Linked DNA regions of Lepisosteus oculatus. The protein of the gene in region 1 purifies or fractionates together with the protein of each later gene. This does not show direct contact. Links are inferred from orthologs where the notes say so. Each region holds a gene or a part of one and is shown in the gene's direction. Other genes may lie near its edges.

Region 1 (6,279 bases):
ACCATTTTCAAATCTCTCGACGTCTGCTCTTCACCCAAGCCCGTCTCAAGGCACGCACGCGTCGTCTGGGGTGATCTGTTGAGCCAAGAAACGGAACGTTAACCATCCTTCCTCCCCCAACTCTGAAAGATCTTTCCTGCTCAGGTCATCACAGAGGTCCTGGTTAGCCATCATGTCCCGAGTAGGGCATCATGGAAACATTTCACAAACCTGACCTGCAGTGACCACAGTGCTTCAGAACATGGATTGAAATCAGAGGCCACAGGGTGGCCTGCTCATTGGAAGTGTCAGAAATGGAAAAATCATTCATCATGAACACTGTGCAGAGACGGGGAGCCCTTGAACCGACAGTTCCACCTAGATTTCGATTAGGGGCCAATTTGAATTCTGCAATTGCAATCAAAAACCAGCCCATTTTCGCGCAGGTGACTCACCATTTCAAGTCACTCGATTGCCTGCGGATACACCCCCGCCACTCCACTCCACTCGGATCCGTCCCCACAACCTCTCGGGACATGCTGTTGCGACGTCGCCATCTTGAATTTCTCCACGGCGATCGGCAGCACGTCACCACGTGTCACTAAAACAAAAAGTAAAATATACAGCCGGTTTCTTAAACAATCTCAGCGCAACCTCCCATGCAATCGCTTTCACATGAAACAAATACAGAGGCACAGCCTAGGCGAACAGGGGTGAAGCTTTTCAGTCGCTGAGAAGCTTCTACCGATAAAGGACACGCTTCTCACTTCACAAGCGAGTATATTACACGTGCATCCTACGTGCAGACGATCAGTCGAGTCCACAGTGTTTCAGAACATTTAGTGAAATCAAGGACTGTTCATCGGAAGTGTCAGAAATAAGAATAGATTCATCATTAACACTGAAGGAGACTCAGACTATTCTCATAAGAGAAGGACGCTAGTCTTGTAAAAATCCCGCATGAAACCCAACTCCAAGCGGGCCCGATGTAGGCCCGTAGCCGCATCTTGGGGTGCGCAGATGCGTCCATTTAAGTCTGCAAACTGGGCAGACCTTTGTACGTGGAGCTACACAAAGCCAAGCTGGGCCCACATGGCCTAGCCTAGGTCAATCCAGCACGCCTACGCTGAAAAACAGCAGCGCCCAATACATTCAGTACTTCGGCAAGCACTCGTAATGGACAGCTGGACTTCCCCGAGACAAGCCAGATTTAATAAAACTAATGCACGGAAATGCTGAGCTTTTACTAACACTAGCAACAACTAAAACAAACCACCACTCACCTCCACCGAGCGAAAAGAGAGGCTCAATAGCACCGCGAAATGAATTTATGGGGTGAAGGTCTGGCTCCGGCCTGAATTCACACTTCTTATTGGATAGTCAATGCAAAAATAGCCGTTTCTTATGCGAAGGAACCAATCGCCTCTGAATTCTAAAGCAACACTCCTTTTCCGCTGGAAGAAGGGGAAGCTTCCTATTGGCTATTTAAAATGTATTTGGTCACGAATCAAATGTGAGTTTTAGCGTGAGAGGGAAACTGACTTGAAGGACGTCCAACGGTAGATAAAAGTAGTACAATAGACTGATGGAGCTATAGCCAATGAGCATTCAGCTGTGGGCGGAGCGTGGATGGGAGGGCGGTGTCGAAAAGAATTGTGGGGTCTGTAGTGCTCACTTGATCGGGGATTGATTTGGAATCGAAGGCCCCAGCTGAATAAATGAACTACAAGCCCCACAATGCCCGGTAAACAGTTCACTTCCTCAAAAATCTGGCTGCTGTCAGGGAAGAAGATGTGGACTATAAGAGCAGGCTGAGTGCTTTTGCATCATTGGTAAGAGGTTTGAGTTCGTTATACACAGGTTTTCCATCGCGTAGTTCGACCAAAACTGTTTTGCTAGCCCTTAGGTTCGGGTGTTTGCGGCTGACACCATCGTAACACGGAATCTCTCTCTCCTAATTCTAGACCAGAAATAGCCCTAACGAGTCACAGCTTATTGAGAGTACGACAGCGATCCATGTGCCGAGAGACGAGAACAAATGTCTAATTAAAATCTGGATACAACTGCAAGACTGCTATGAATTTTTGACTCTCCTAGACATCTGTTTCCGTTTCTTTAAAAGCAATCGTAACACAGCTGGCTAACGCCATACGTGTCTTGGCGACACAACGATTATCTTGCGAACCAATGGGCTGATGTGGAGAGCGTCCGTAAAAAAACATTTGATGAAGTGTTCCTGGCAAGGTAGGAGAGTTTCCACCGAGCCTGCCGCCGGCTCAGCAGGGGCTTCATTTGTTTAGTGTGCGATCCGTCGCGCTGGCTGATTCAGTGAATTCATAAGCGAAAAGCGCCAGTACACGTCGTCACCGAGGGAAGGAGATGCACCACGCATCGGGCGCTGTGTCTGGGAAGATCTCGCTGAGAGCCAGCGAGCCGTCTGGTGTCACAAAGTGTCGACGCGCATTCCCGTCTGAGGTGCGATCAGCTGTGTTCGTGCGAGACTGGACGGGCTCGGGGTCTGTGATGCTTTCTGAGGTGTCCTCTCGTTTCTTTGTGCTCTGTATCTTTCGGTTTAGTGATGAAAGGTTTGAGACGGCGACGTTCCCCGAAGGGGGGGGGCATGTGGGGAGCTGAGATCCCCGTGATATTTGTGGGGTCTCCTTCCGCTTGCACTGGAAGAGTGGGGCTCGGTCGATTTCAACAGTGAAACGAAGCTCACATTTCAGACTGTCGGTGGCAGCAGATCCATACTATAAACTCTCTGTTCGTGTTCATAGACCCGTTAATAGAAGTATCTTAAGGGATAAACCCTTCCATTTATATAGCGCCTTTCTAGACACTCCCCTCAAAGCGCTTGACAGATCATGGGGACTCCCCTCCAGTGTGCAGCCCCAGCTGGATGATGCGACGGCAGCCATAGTGCACCAATACGCTCCCCACAGACCAGCTCTCAGTGGGGAGGAGAACGGAGTGATGAAGCCCAACATGTATGCACCCGTGTTTCAGATTGTTGTGTACAGGCTGTTCAAATGACACAGGCGTCATATCCGATTCATTGCTCCAGCTCTCAGTGTCACGTTAGTAACGCATTCTCCCTTAAAACTAGTACGTCGAGTTTGATTGAAGAGATGAAGTCTTCACTTTGCTGGCTACGCGAATGAATTAAGTATCGCATTGGGGGCACGTGGTGGTACTATCGTTTCTGTTGTTGTCCTTGTACCCACCTGTTCTTGAAATCGTGAAACGTCGAAGTCTCTGCAGTTCCTGGAGTGCGAGTCTGGAAAAAGCCACAGACGTCTGAATCTGACCCGAAGTGGTACGGGCGAGGAGCACGCTGTATCAGATATACAGTGACACGCTGAATGAAAAATGTTAAATTTGCAGCGACTGTACTCGTTATACAGAGAAAGTGCGAAATCGTTATAGAGAACGGATGCAGATGTAATGTAATAATTGTTGACCTTTGAAACCATTCGCATTAATGAGCTCTCAGCTATGGTTATGAATGTAATTATTTACTTAGCAGGCGGTGTACCAACACATGCAATTGTGTTCATATCAAAGTGAGTTGCTGCTGTTGCACTCGGAACAAGTAAAGAACACAATGCTTTTGTGTGGCGCAAGTAGAGGCCGTTTAATTTGTAGCCTCGTGTCGATTTTTGGAAGGAAAAACAGATTGATGTCAATCAGTAAGACGGCTACGGTCACTTAAACGTGTTTGTGAACTCGTCTCGGAAATTATACAGCTCCGGATTTTTTTTTAGCATTCGGATATGGACTATGATACGGCGTAGGCGGCTCTATTCATTACTGTTGTGAAATCTAAAAAAAAAAGTGCTGGTAAGGGACACTGACGTCACTTTGGAATAGTACAGTAGTAAGCGGAGAGTGGGCAGCCTGTGTTCCGATTGGCCGAGGCGCCGCCTCATTAGCATACAGGCAGTCCCGTCGCGTGCCTTTCTGTTTACATCACCGTGCAGAGCAGCACTGGCAGACGGGTCTCAGCGTGCTTTGAGGACTGTAATCGGATTAATTGAACAACTTTTGTTTCATTCATTACCGTTATGGTACAGAAATGTGCACTAGACTTCAACGCAAGGCTGTAGGTTTACAGTCTTTGTGAGTGAATTAAAGGTAACTGTCTCCCAACAGGTAAACAGCCGGACCGCAGCGTTGTCTTCTGACGTTGTGCATTTAGCTGTGTGATCGGGGTTTTATTCGGGCATTTCATCGCTCGCAAACAGTAACTTTCTGGAATTTTTGTTTAGCGCATTTAATCAACTAAAACGTTTTCAATTATTTTTCCCTCTAAGGTTTCGTTTGGTATGAGTCACATTTTCCAAAATCAGGTTGGCTGACTTTGAGTTGCCTTTTTTTTTTGCAGGGGGAGGTGGTCCCGGACCTTCTCTCACTTCTCTCTTTTTAATCGAGCCATCGATTTCATTCAGCCCGGTTTTGTTTTTAACGCAGTTACGGAATTCAGTAGTGCGCAGTTTTTCTTGAGCTCCGAGCTCTCCTTGTTATTGGTGGTAGCTAGCGCTGACAGGGTTATCTTGAAGTGCTTTTGTTTTGCTCCCTCTAGAAGTAATATTCTTAAACAGACCCGATTGTATCTCCAGATTTCAATTTGTAGTCGATAACCCTTTACCGCGGGATTACAAATGGATTATGTCATCTCTCCTAATCGATTTCTGCAAGATTCATCATAAACACTGGATTGACTTAACATTGTGCTATGATCGCATCCTTGTCGCCAATAATTATTGCCGTAAATAATATTTTGATGTATGTAGCCGCCGATGTTTATCCAAGGCAACTTGAGTTCAGTATATTAGTCTTTTAAACTAGTTAGTAACTGTCAGAAGTCGTTTAAGGCTTTATAGAGCAGGATGGTTTAGAATTTCTTTTCCTACTTTGGAACATGGTCTTAGTTGTTTGGAACATATGTTGTGACCATCATTGATGACTATTTTCCTTCTTCGCTGTTCAAAAGTATGGCGTCTAATTTTCGGAAGTGTTTACCTGCGAGGCATTTTCCCAGGAACTTGATGGTAATGTTTCTGCAGCGCAGGATACTGAAACCTCAAATTCCAGTGCCACATTTTACTGTTAATTCTTCATCTTACATTTGTACACAGCATGTGGAAAGTAGGACATTTCATAGTCCCTTGAGTCTGAGGTGAAGACCATGTCAGTTTGAGGTCAATAATGAGGGATAGCTTTCTTCATAGCTACTAGCCCACACAGCCTCCAGCTCTAGTTGTTGGAAGACGTGATTTTGAGGAAAAATTGAGTAAAGTAAAAGGAGAGATTCTTTTAGAGGTTGTCCACCTTCTAGGGAGATGGGGGCTACCTGTGTACTTGTGATAATTAAGTTGCAGATACAGTGCTTTCTGTCTCATATCAGCACGGGCAGCCCTCTTGTGTGATGCACAGTATCGCAGGTACAGTGTGGGATCAGGCCATTGTCAGCAACCGGATAGCTGTTTTTCCAACCAGGAATAGAAATTAGTAACAGAAGGAAAATGGCAAGGGACTCCTTGAGTGAATTACTGTGAAACAGACGGTGGTTTGCAACCTGTTATTTGGGGATCTGTAGTGTATAATCTCCACCATGGCTGGAGAGCATTAATTGTAGGTTGGATTTTGCTACTGCAAAGCCAGCTGACTCTCCACTCACCACTGACTGTTCAGCGAAGTTTCACAGGGCCATTTCTTTTGTGTCCTTCTGGTTTCAGAAATGGGAAAAAAAAATCCTGTAGTTCCAGCCCTGCCCCCCTAATCAGGCCTCCCACTGCTTAGGTCAACAGTAACTGGTGCTTTAGTTCTGGGTGGGTTCTGTTGTGCCCAGTGTGCCGTACAGGTGTCCTTTTTCTGTAGTCTCTGAGCCCTGCCCAACTTCTCCGTTTGTCTGTGTCTTTGCCCTTTTGTTCCTGCTCAGACTGTTGCAGCGCTGGTGGTTAGACGCGTGCTCATTTTTTTCGGTTTACTGTCACGGTTGAGACTGTGGGGGGGGTGAGGAACGCAGAACAAAAAGGATGGGTTCTGAAGTTTTCCATACTCAAGGAATGGTCTTTCGGGTAGGCTGCAACATAAGCTCAGTTTGCAAACAAAAACATGGCCCCCAAAGATATGTGAAGTTCCTGTTTTAGTAAAAAGAAGTAATTAACTATCATAACAGATGTTTTGGCACTCTTGCTGGAAAGAAAACAAAAATCTTGGCCACAGAGCAGAGTTTCCATTTAGCTGTCAGCCTGGGGTTACAGTGGTCTCTGGAGTTATGGAGTGCCAGAGTGCGGT
Region 2 (6,279 bases), on another chromosome or scaffold:
AAATTTGGGTTTACACTAGGCAAGCATCGTGCGGTTCAGAAAATTGCCTTGAGCAGCGAAGTATGCAGTTTCTTGCCATATCACCAAAAGAATCGGAGGACGTCTTGCTCAGTGTTCCGTCGGGTCTCTTCCCCCAGTTCATCTGCGATGTGTCCTCGCTGCGCGGTGTGAGACAGGCCCTGGATTCCCTTGGGCTGCGGACGCTGGCGGCTGGCCCAGAGTTTGTTGCCTGCAGCTTGGCACAGCTGTCCCAGGGAGAGATGGAATCTGCCTCCAGGCTCCTCGAGGTGCTCAACGAATGTCCGGACGTCATCCGTGTGTGGGACAACATCCAGGGGGAGGCCTAAGCCTGCTTCTAACCACCTGCCTCCTGTTCTGGCCCTGGGCCAGTAGGGGAAAAGAAAGCAAAGGAGAGTTAACCATGGTAACCGGCTGACCTTCCTCAGGAAACATCATCAGGGGTCAAGCCCATATTTATCAAGGGATGCCCATAGTGGAGATCAGAGGCTTATCTAACTCAGTCTAGACAGCAAGAGGGGCTGTTGGCTGTTGTGCTGTGAGAAGGACAATAGTACAAGTTCTAGTGTGATCAAGAGCAAATTCCGTGTTGAAGGCCCCCACATAAGAGCATAAAAACAAATTGAGATCATTTGGCCCATCTTGCGTATTTGTTTACTCTCATTGATCAGAAGAATCTTGTCCAGCCTGTTCTCGAAGGTTCCCGGGGAATCATGCCTTCCATAATCCAGAACACTGGATTGCAAATGTTCTGGATGACTTTTAGATTCTGTTCAGAATTTTTGGATGTTGTATTGTACCTGTTTGAAATTAAAACCATTAATTTATGAAAGATGTGTGTGTGTGTTTTTTCAGGAATCAAAAAGCAAAGTAATACCCCTCTTGGTATGAATAGATATGACCGTATTAGGAGTTTAGCACTCACATTTCAGATTTTCCCAAATAACCTCTTCTACCACAATCGTGCCTTATTCCAACATGGATCATACATCATAAAATAAATGTTATTGTGTTTCACATAAAAATGTAGAACTGAAGCTGATTTTGAGTCATTCAACTCAGAGGATGGGGGTAAAGTGGTGTTAGGTATTCCTGTTTTTAAGTGTGAATGCTACTTATATTTAGAAGACATCCATCCACTTTTAAAACTGCTTCATCCACTTCAGGGTCGTGGGGGAGCTGGAGGCTATCCTGGCAAGGCAGGGTACACCCTGGACAGGACGCCAGTCCATTACAGGACACACACTCGCACCAGGGCAGAATCTCCCCGACGCCAGTTGACCTACCAGTGTGTCTTTGGACTGTGGAAGGATGCTGGAGCACCCTGTGAAAATGCATGTTAACTAAGGGAACTAAGTTAACATGCAAACTCCACACAGAGAGCACCCCAGCTCCCAGAATTGAACCCAGGACTCCAGCACAGTGAGGCAACAGTGTGTCACTGTGCACTCAGAGCACATAAACTACCCAATTGCAATAACCTGTGTCTTTGTATTACAACACTCTTTCTTTTAAGTTTTTTTTTGTCTTCTCTGTAGAAGAAATAACATGTGGTACACAACTCTAGTTAAATCCTCAACTGCTGATAAAATGTTTGATATTGATTATATCAAAATCTGAATTGCAGATTAAAACTTAACATTTCGGCTAAGTATCATGTTTAGGTTTTACAGATATTCAAAGTCGAATATCAAATCTCTGATGCTAGTAATGACATTTTTGTAAATACATCAGCGTTTCATCTTTTTTTTTATATGAGGAGCTTCTTTTTCGTGTAAAAAAAAATCTGAAATTTGTAACATCAGCAATTGAGGATGAATATTCTGTTTGAATCATCAGTATCCAAACCGGTATCGACGGGCAACAAAGCGAAAGCGCTCCTCTTGACCACCGATGACAAGCTCATGGGGGGGGCAAACCAAATATCGCGGTATGCTGGCCCTGCACACAAAACTAGATGACGAACCAGCACAAAGTTCATGACGTATTCGGCAAGGACGTCAGCCAGTAGATGCGTGTCTGTGTTGGAACTTGTCGGGCGCTGAGCGCGTAACCTGGCTGCCGTAAGAAATCTGCGGAGGAACTGCGCGCTCCCGAGCGAGTTTGGTGCTGTTTTAGTGCTCTTCATGTGAATTGTCGGTACCCTCAACAGTTATGGGGAGCATCTTATTGACCAGAAAGCTGAATGCTGTAATTGTGCCACGTTAAGGAGCTTTAAACTACTTTAATTGAAAAACAACATAACTTTAGGTTTTTTTTTTTTTCGGAAGCTGACTGATGGGTTCCGGTGACTGAGTGCGTTTTTTTTTTTCAAGTCAGGAAATTCGCTGCAAGGAGATTAAATTTACTTTGGAGCGATGTGCATGCGGACCCGAGCTCCTTCAAACACCGTTTCGTGAGTTTTTTTTTGTAAGGTCCCTTTTTGTTTTTTCTTCTTCTTCTTCTTCTTTCGGAAAAGCGGGTGTGTCTCGACTTCAGCCGAGCTGCCCTCTCCGCGCTTGTCAAAACCAGACCGGACCGAAAAAATACAAAGTTTTTTTTTTGAGGTGGGGGGGGCAGAGATCTGGGCTGCTGTGGCGAAGGTCTTATTAAAACCATCAAAGCAGAGATGGAGAAGACATGACATGCTCCGGTGGGAGTCTTCAGCGCCAACCTGCAGCTCTTTTCTGGGGGTGGAGGAGGGACACACTTTTGTTTTTAAAGAGGGTGTCCTCGTTTGCAGCGGTTTCCCTTCGCCTTTGGGGGAGAGAGAGAGAGAGAAAAAAAATGGAGATAACTGATTTTCACAACTTCACCATAACGTCACGGGTTTGCTTGCGCCGGGCTGCTCCGTCTTGTTTTTAAAACTTGACGGGTTTGCAAAGTCTGACGGACTCGTTTTATTACTTCTCCGGAGTCCCCAGCCTCGACGCCAGATCTGATTATAGCCCCCAAACCGGGGCAGTGATTTCATGATTATCTTTCTGCTCGACCGGACAAGCAGTTTTTGTTGGGGTTTTTTTTCCTTCCGCGGTGCATGAAAATACGGATCTTCTGTTTCCCACAGATCGTTAACATCGTTTTAACTTGAATAGTTTCGATAAGTGTTCTGGTTTTCCTTCTTTTTTTTTTTTTGGTAATTATTATTTTGTGGAGGCCCTGCGCATCTATCTATCGGGACTTTTGTGGAGAACAACAACAACAACAACAAAACAATATATCCTTGCGTGATAAGAAGACGGCGGAAAAAAAGTGCGAGTTTTGCAGGAAAGGCGTGCGATCGAGAAAGCGGTTTCGTGGTGTTGTTTTTTTTTATTCTCCCTCTCGCACGGACACCAGGATTTCATAAATGCCTTGAAGTCGACTTTCTCCACCCCGGGACACCCCTTCCACCCGTTAACAACCCGTACATGTGCATTTTTTTATTGTGGACTTCAGCGACACTCTGGAAGAAAAACTCGTGTTTTGACCCGAGGCCAAGAAAAATGTTTGAACTTAATTTAGCAGCAGACATAGCCTGGCTTCGCTTTTTTCTCTCGGCATGCTTGTCAGGAAAATCCAAGACTGCATTGGACGTTTTATAGCTGTCTGGATATTTTCTTGTCAAGGGGAGGAGAAAAAAAAGCAAGCTGAAAACAACCCAGAAACGAAATAGCACAGTTTCACTTTAATTCGTTTCTCTTTTTTTTTGTTAACTTGTAAATCTCTCGACAACCCGGGACTACAAGTGCTCTGACCGACAGGACTCGAGATTTGTTTTTTTGTTTGTTTTTTTCCCAGTTTGGTTGTGTTTTGCAAGTCCCGCGACCAGTTAACGAGCCTTTCGGGATTAAAAAGCGATGTATTTCGACAGCTAGCGAGGATGCGTGACAACTGAGCCCCCTTTTTGCAAGCGACTGTCGGACTGCTCGCTTGTTCGGGAGAGTCACTTGCGGAGTGAGCTGCTGCTGTTTTGCTCGGGCAAGAGGCAAGCGTGTTACCCCAGGAGGTGAGACAGCTGTGACATTACTCACTCTTTGCATCTGTCTGAGGTGGTGCTCAGCTCGCCAAGAAGGGGTGTACTTAATGCGTTAACGTGGGTTTTGTTCCTGCTTGACCTATAGAGTTGTTTTCTGTGATACCAGCTGCTGTATGATTCCTTTAAGAGGTCTGGAGACAGTGCGTCAAATTACCAGTTACATCAACGTCTTTTCACAGTTTCAGACCGTGATTTTTCCCAAGATTTCCATTGTGCACAGCTGACCCAAAATGGCCTTTTCCTTCTATACAGTTTGGTTTTTATGACGGGGCCTTTTGGGGGGAAAACTTCCCGTTGTATTTCAGCAAGGCAAGCGTCCAGCTCTTACAAATAATTGCTTTTGTCATGCATGCGTTCTTGGGCTTTAAATTAGAGAATTTAGACAGATATAGAAAGTTGCGTAGTGCGCTATGAGCAAGGTTCCTGTGCCGGTGACCTAGAGAGCAGAGGAGCTGCAGAAAAACAACTTTCGAAAACACGTGCTCGACAGTCTTTTTGACCAGCAGTATTGTTGTGGATTTCTTCAGAGAGGCATGGAAAGAGGTGAAAGGCTTGTACACAAGGCCTTCTCAGTGGCTGGGGGGCTGTATTTTTCACAGTGCTGAGAACACATGCAGTGTGCGTCTAGTTACGTCCTAAACAGGACACAAAACTTCACTTCATTCCTTTGACTTTGGCAAGTGCCTCTGCTCCTCAGTTGTGTGGTGGGGTTCAAGGATTTAGTATGTGAGAAGGTGCGGGTTTGTGTGTCAGTTTTGTGTTTCCATTTGTAACTCAACATCTATAGAAAGCTTATTCTTCTTATCGGCCTTAAGGCACAGCAGGCCAACTCTGGTTTCTGCACCACAGTGCAGCAGGTTTTATAGGTTTCTTACATCATCAACATGTAAAGACTTCAGTTAAGAGTTAAGCAGGTCCAGTCAAGCTGCTAATTAGCCATTTACTGCAGGTGATAGAATATTTTGTATTAGATAAAGCGATTAGAAAAAGGATGGAGGAATGATGGCGATACCCTCTTTGTTTTCAAAACCACTGTATCAGTAATGGCTCAGGCCTGACTTGTAGTCCCTCAACCTACTGTGGGATCGTTTTGAAAAGCCCACAAAATTGCCAGCCACTTTTTAATCCCTTACTTGTGCGCAAGGTCACCGAGAGGGGTAGTTGTTTCCAAAATTGTATAATCCACTCCAAAACCAAGTTGCTCGGACGACTAGACATCTTTGAGGCAGGCTAATGAAGTGTAAAATTGTGATGCCCCAAGGGGCATCCGTGACAACGGATTCCGTTGTGAACATGGCTTTCATCTGTTTACCTAGAAATCAGGGACAAAATCTGGAACAGCTCCCCGCTGTGACCCTTGGCTACCAGGTGGGGAGGCTGCATTGTCTGGGCTCTGCCGGTGTGGAGGCTCAGTCGGCTTCCATTGTTCACCCTCAGTGCTGTGCTGCTACTGCAGGTTTGCGTGTCGCCATCATCGGGTGTCCTCCCGGTCCCTCGCCCCGGTCCCTCGCCCCGGGCCCTCGCCCCGGTCCCTCGCCCCTGGGCCCTCGGGTTGGATGGAGGCTGTGCATGATTTGGAGGATGTTGTCGTACCTTGCCTCCCTCCTGCGTTGTTCTGAGAATTCCCTTGGTGTGCATTATTGCTTAGACCACTGGCGATTCCAAAATCCTGGGTCACGGTGCGACGAATTCAAAGTTAAGCTCCCAGGTTTGCCCGAAGGAGAAGTCGGAGAGAGATTCCAGGAGCCCTGCGCCACAGCTGTAGTTTTTTAAGTGGATCCAGGAGCTGCCCACGCTCACAGCAGGTTGCAGTTATCCCTGCGTGAAAACAAATTGCACTAGGGCCCCGCTCCACCGAGGGGAGCGGAGGTGAAAGCAGGGATTAGTCCTTGCAGCAGGAGGAGCTGTGCATTGTGATCCAAAAAATATCATTTGTTTCCGAGGCAGAGAGACGGGGTGATTCCAGGTTCGTTGATGGTGCAAACATTTTACCACGGCCAGCTTGTCATCTGGGTTTCAGTCTCGCTGACGGTGGTTTCCTTGAGCTCAACGTTGACCCGCTAGCTAGCCGGATGAGGTATTATTTAACAGTTTTCAGATCCTGGGGATTAGAAATTGGCCTAAGCTCTGCAGCTGTTATTACCAACAGATGCGATGCTTACCGAGGGACTGATTGTTTCAGTCAATTACCCATCTGATCAGCACCGATTCGGCAACCTATTAAAAGCTGTTCATACAGCATTAGTGTAGTGATTAAGTATCAA

Evidence for each region. The genes of interacting proteins can lie anywhere in the genome.
Region 2: the proteins of traf7 (region 1) and map3k3 purify together in Homo sapiens (affinity purification with mass spectrometry; 5 studies listed by BioGRID and IntAct, with this or other methods). This does not show direct contact. The link is inferred for Lepisosteus oculatus from reciprocal best matches to the Homo sapiens genes TRAF7 and MAP3K3.

Annotation. Positions count from the first base shown.
Region 1 is NC_090714.1:12,215,514-12,221,792, forward strand, and holds the start of traf7 (E3 ubiquitin-protein ligase TRAF7), read left to right. Parts: upstream 1-1,729; 5' UTR 1,730-1,811; intron 1,812-1,824; exon of another isoform or gene 1,825-2,223; intron 2,224-3,942; exon of another isoform or gene 3,943-4,131; intron 4,132-6,279. UniProt on the Homo sapiens protein: E3 ubiquitin and SUMO-protein ligase that plays a role in different biological processes such as innate immunity, inflammation or apoptosis. Potentiates MAP3K3-mediated activation of JUN/AP1 and DDIT3 transcriptional regulators.
Region 2 is NC_090723.1:1,797,755-1,804,033, reverse strand, and holds the start of map3k3 (mitogen-activated protein kinase kinase kinase 3), read left to right. Parts: upstream 1-2,044; 5' UTR 2,045-3,985; intron 3,986-6,279. Other genes in the region: translational activator of cytochrome c oxidase 1, read left to right, coding at 138-347. UniProt on the Homo sapiens protein: Component of a protein kinase signal transduction cascade. Mediates activation of the NF-kappa-B, AP1 and DDIT3 transcriptional regulators.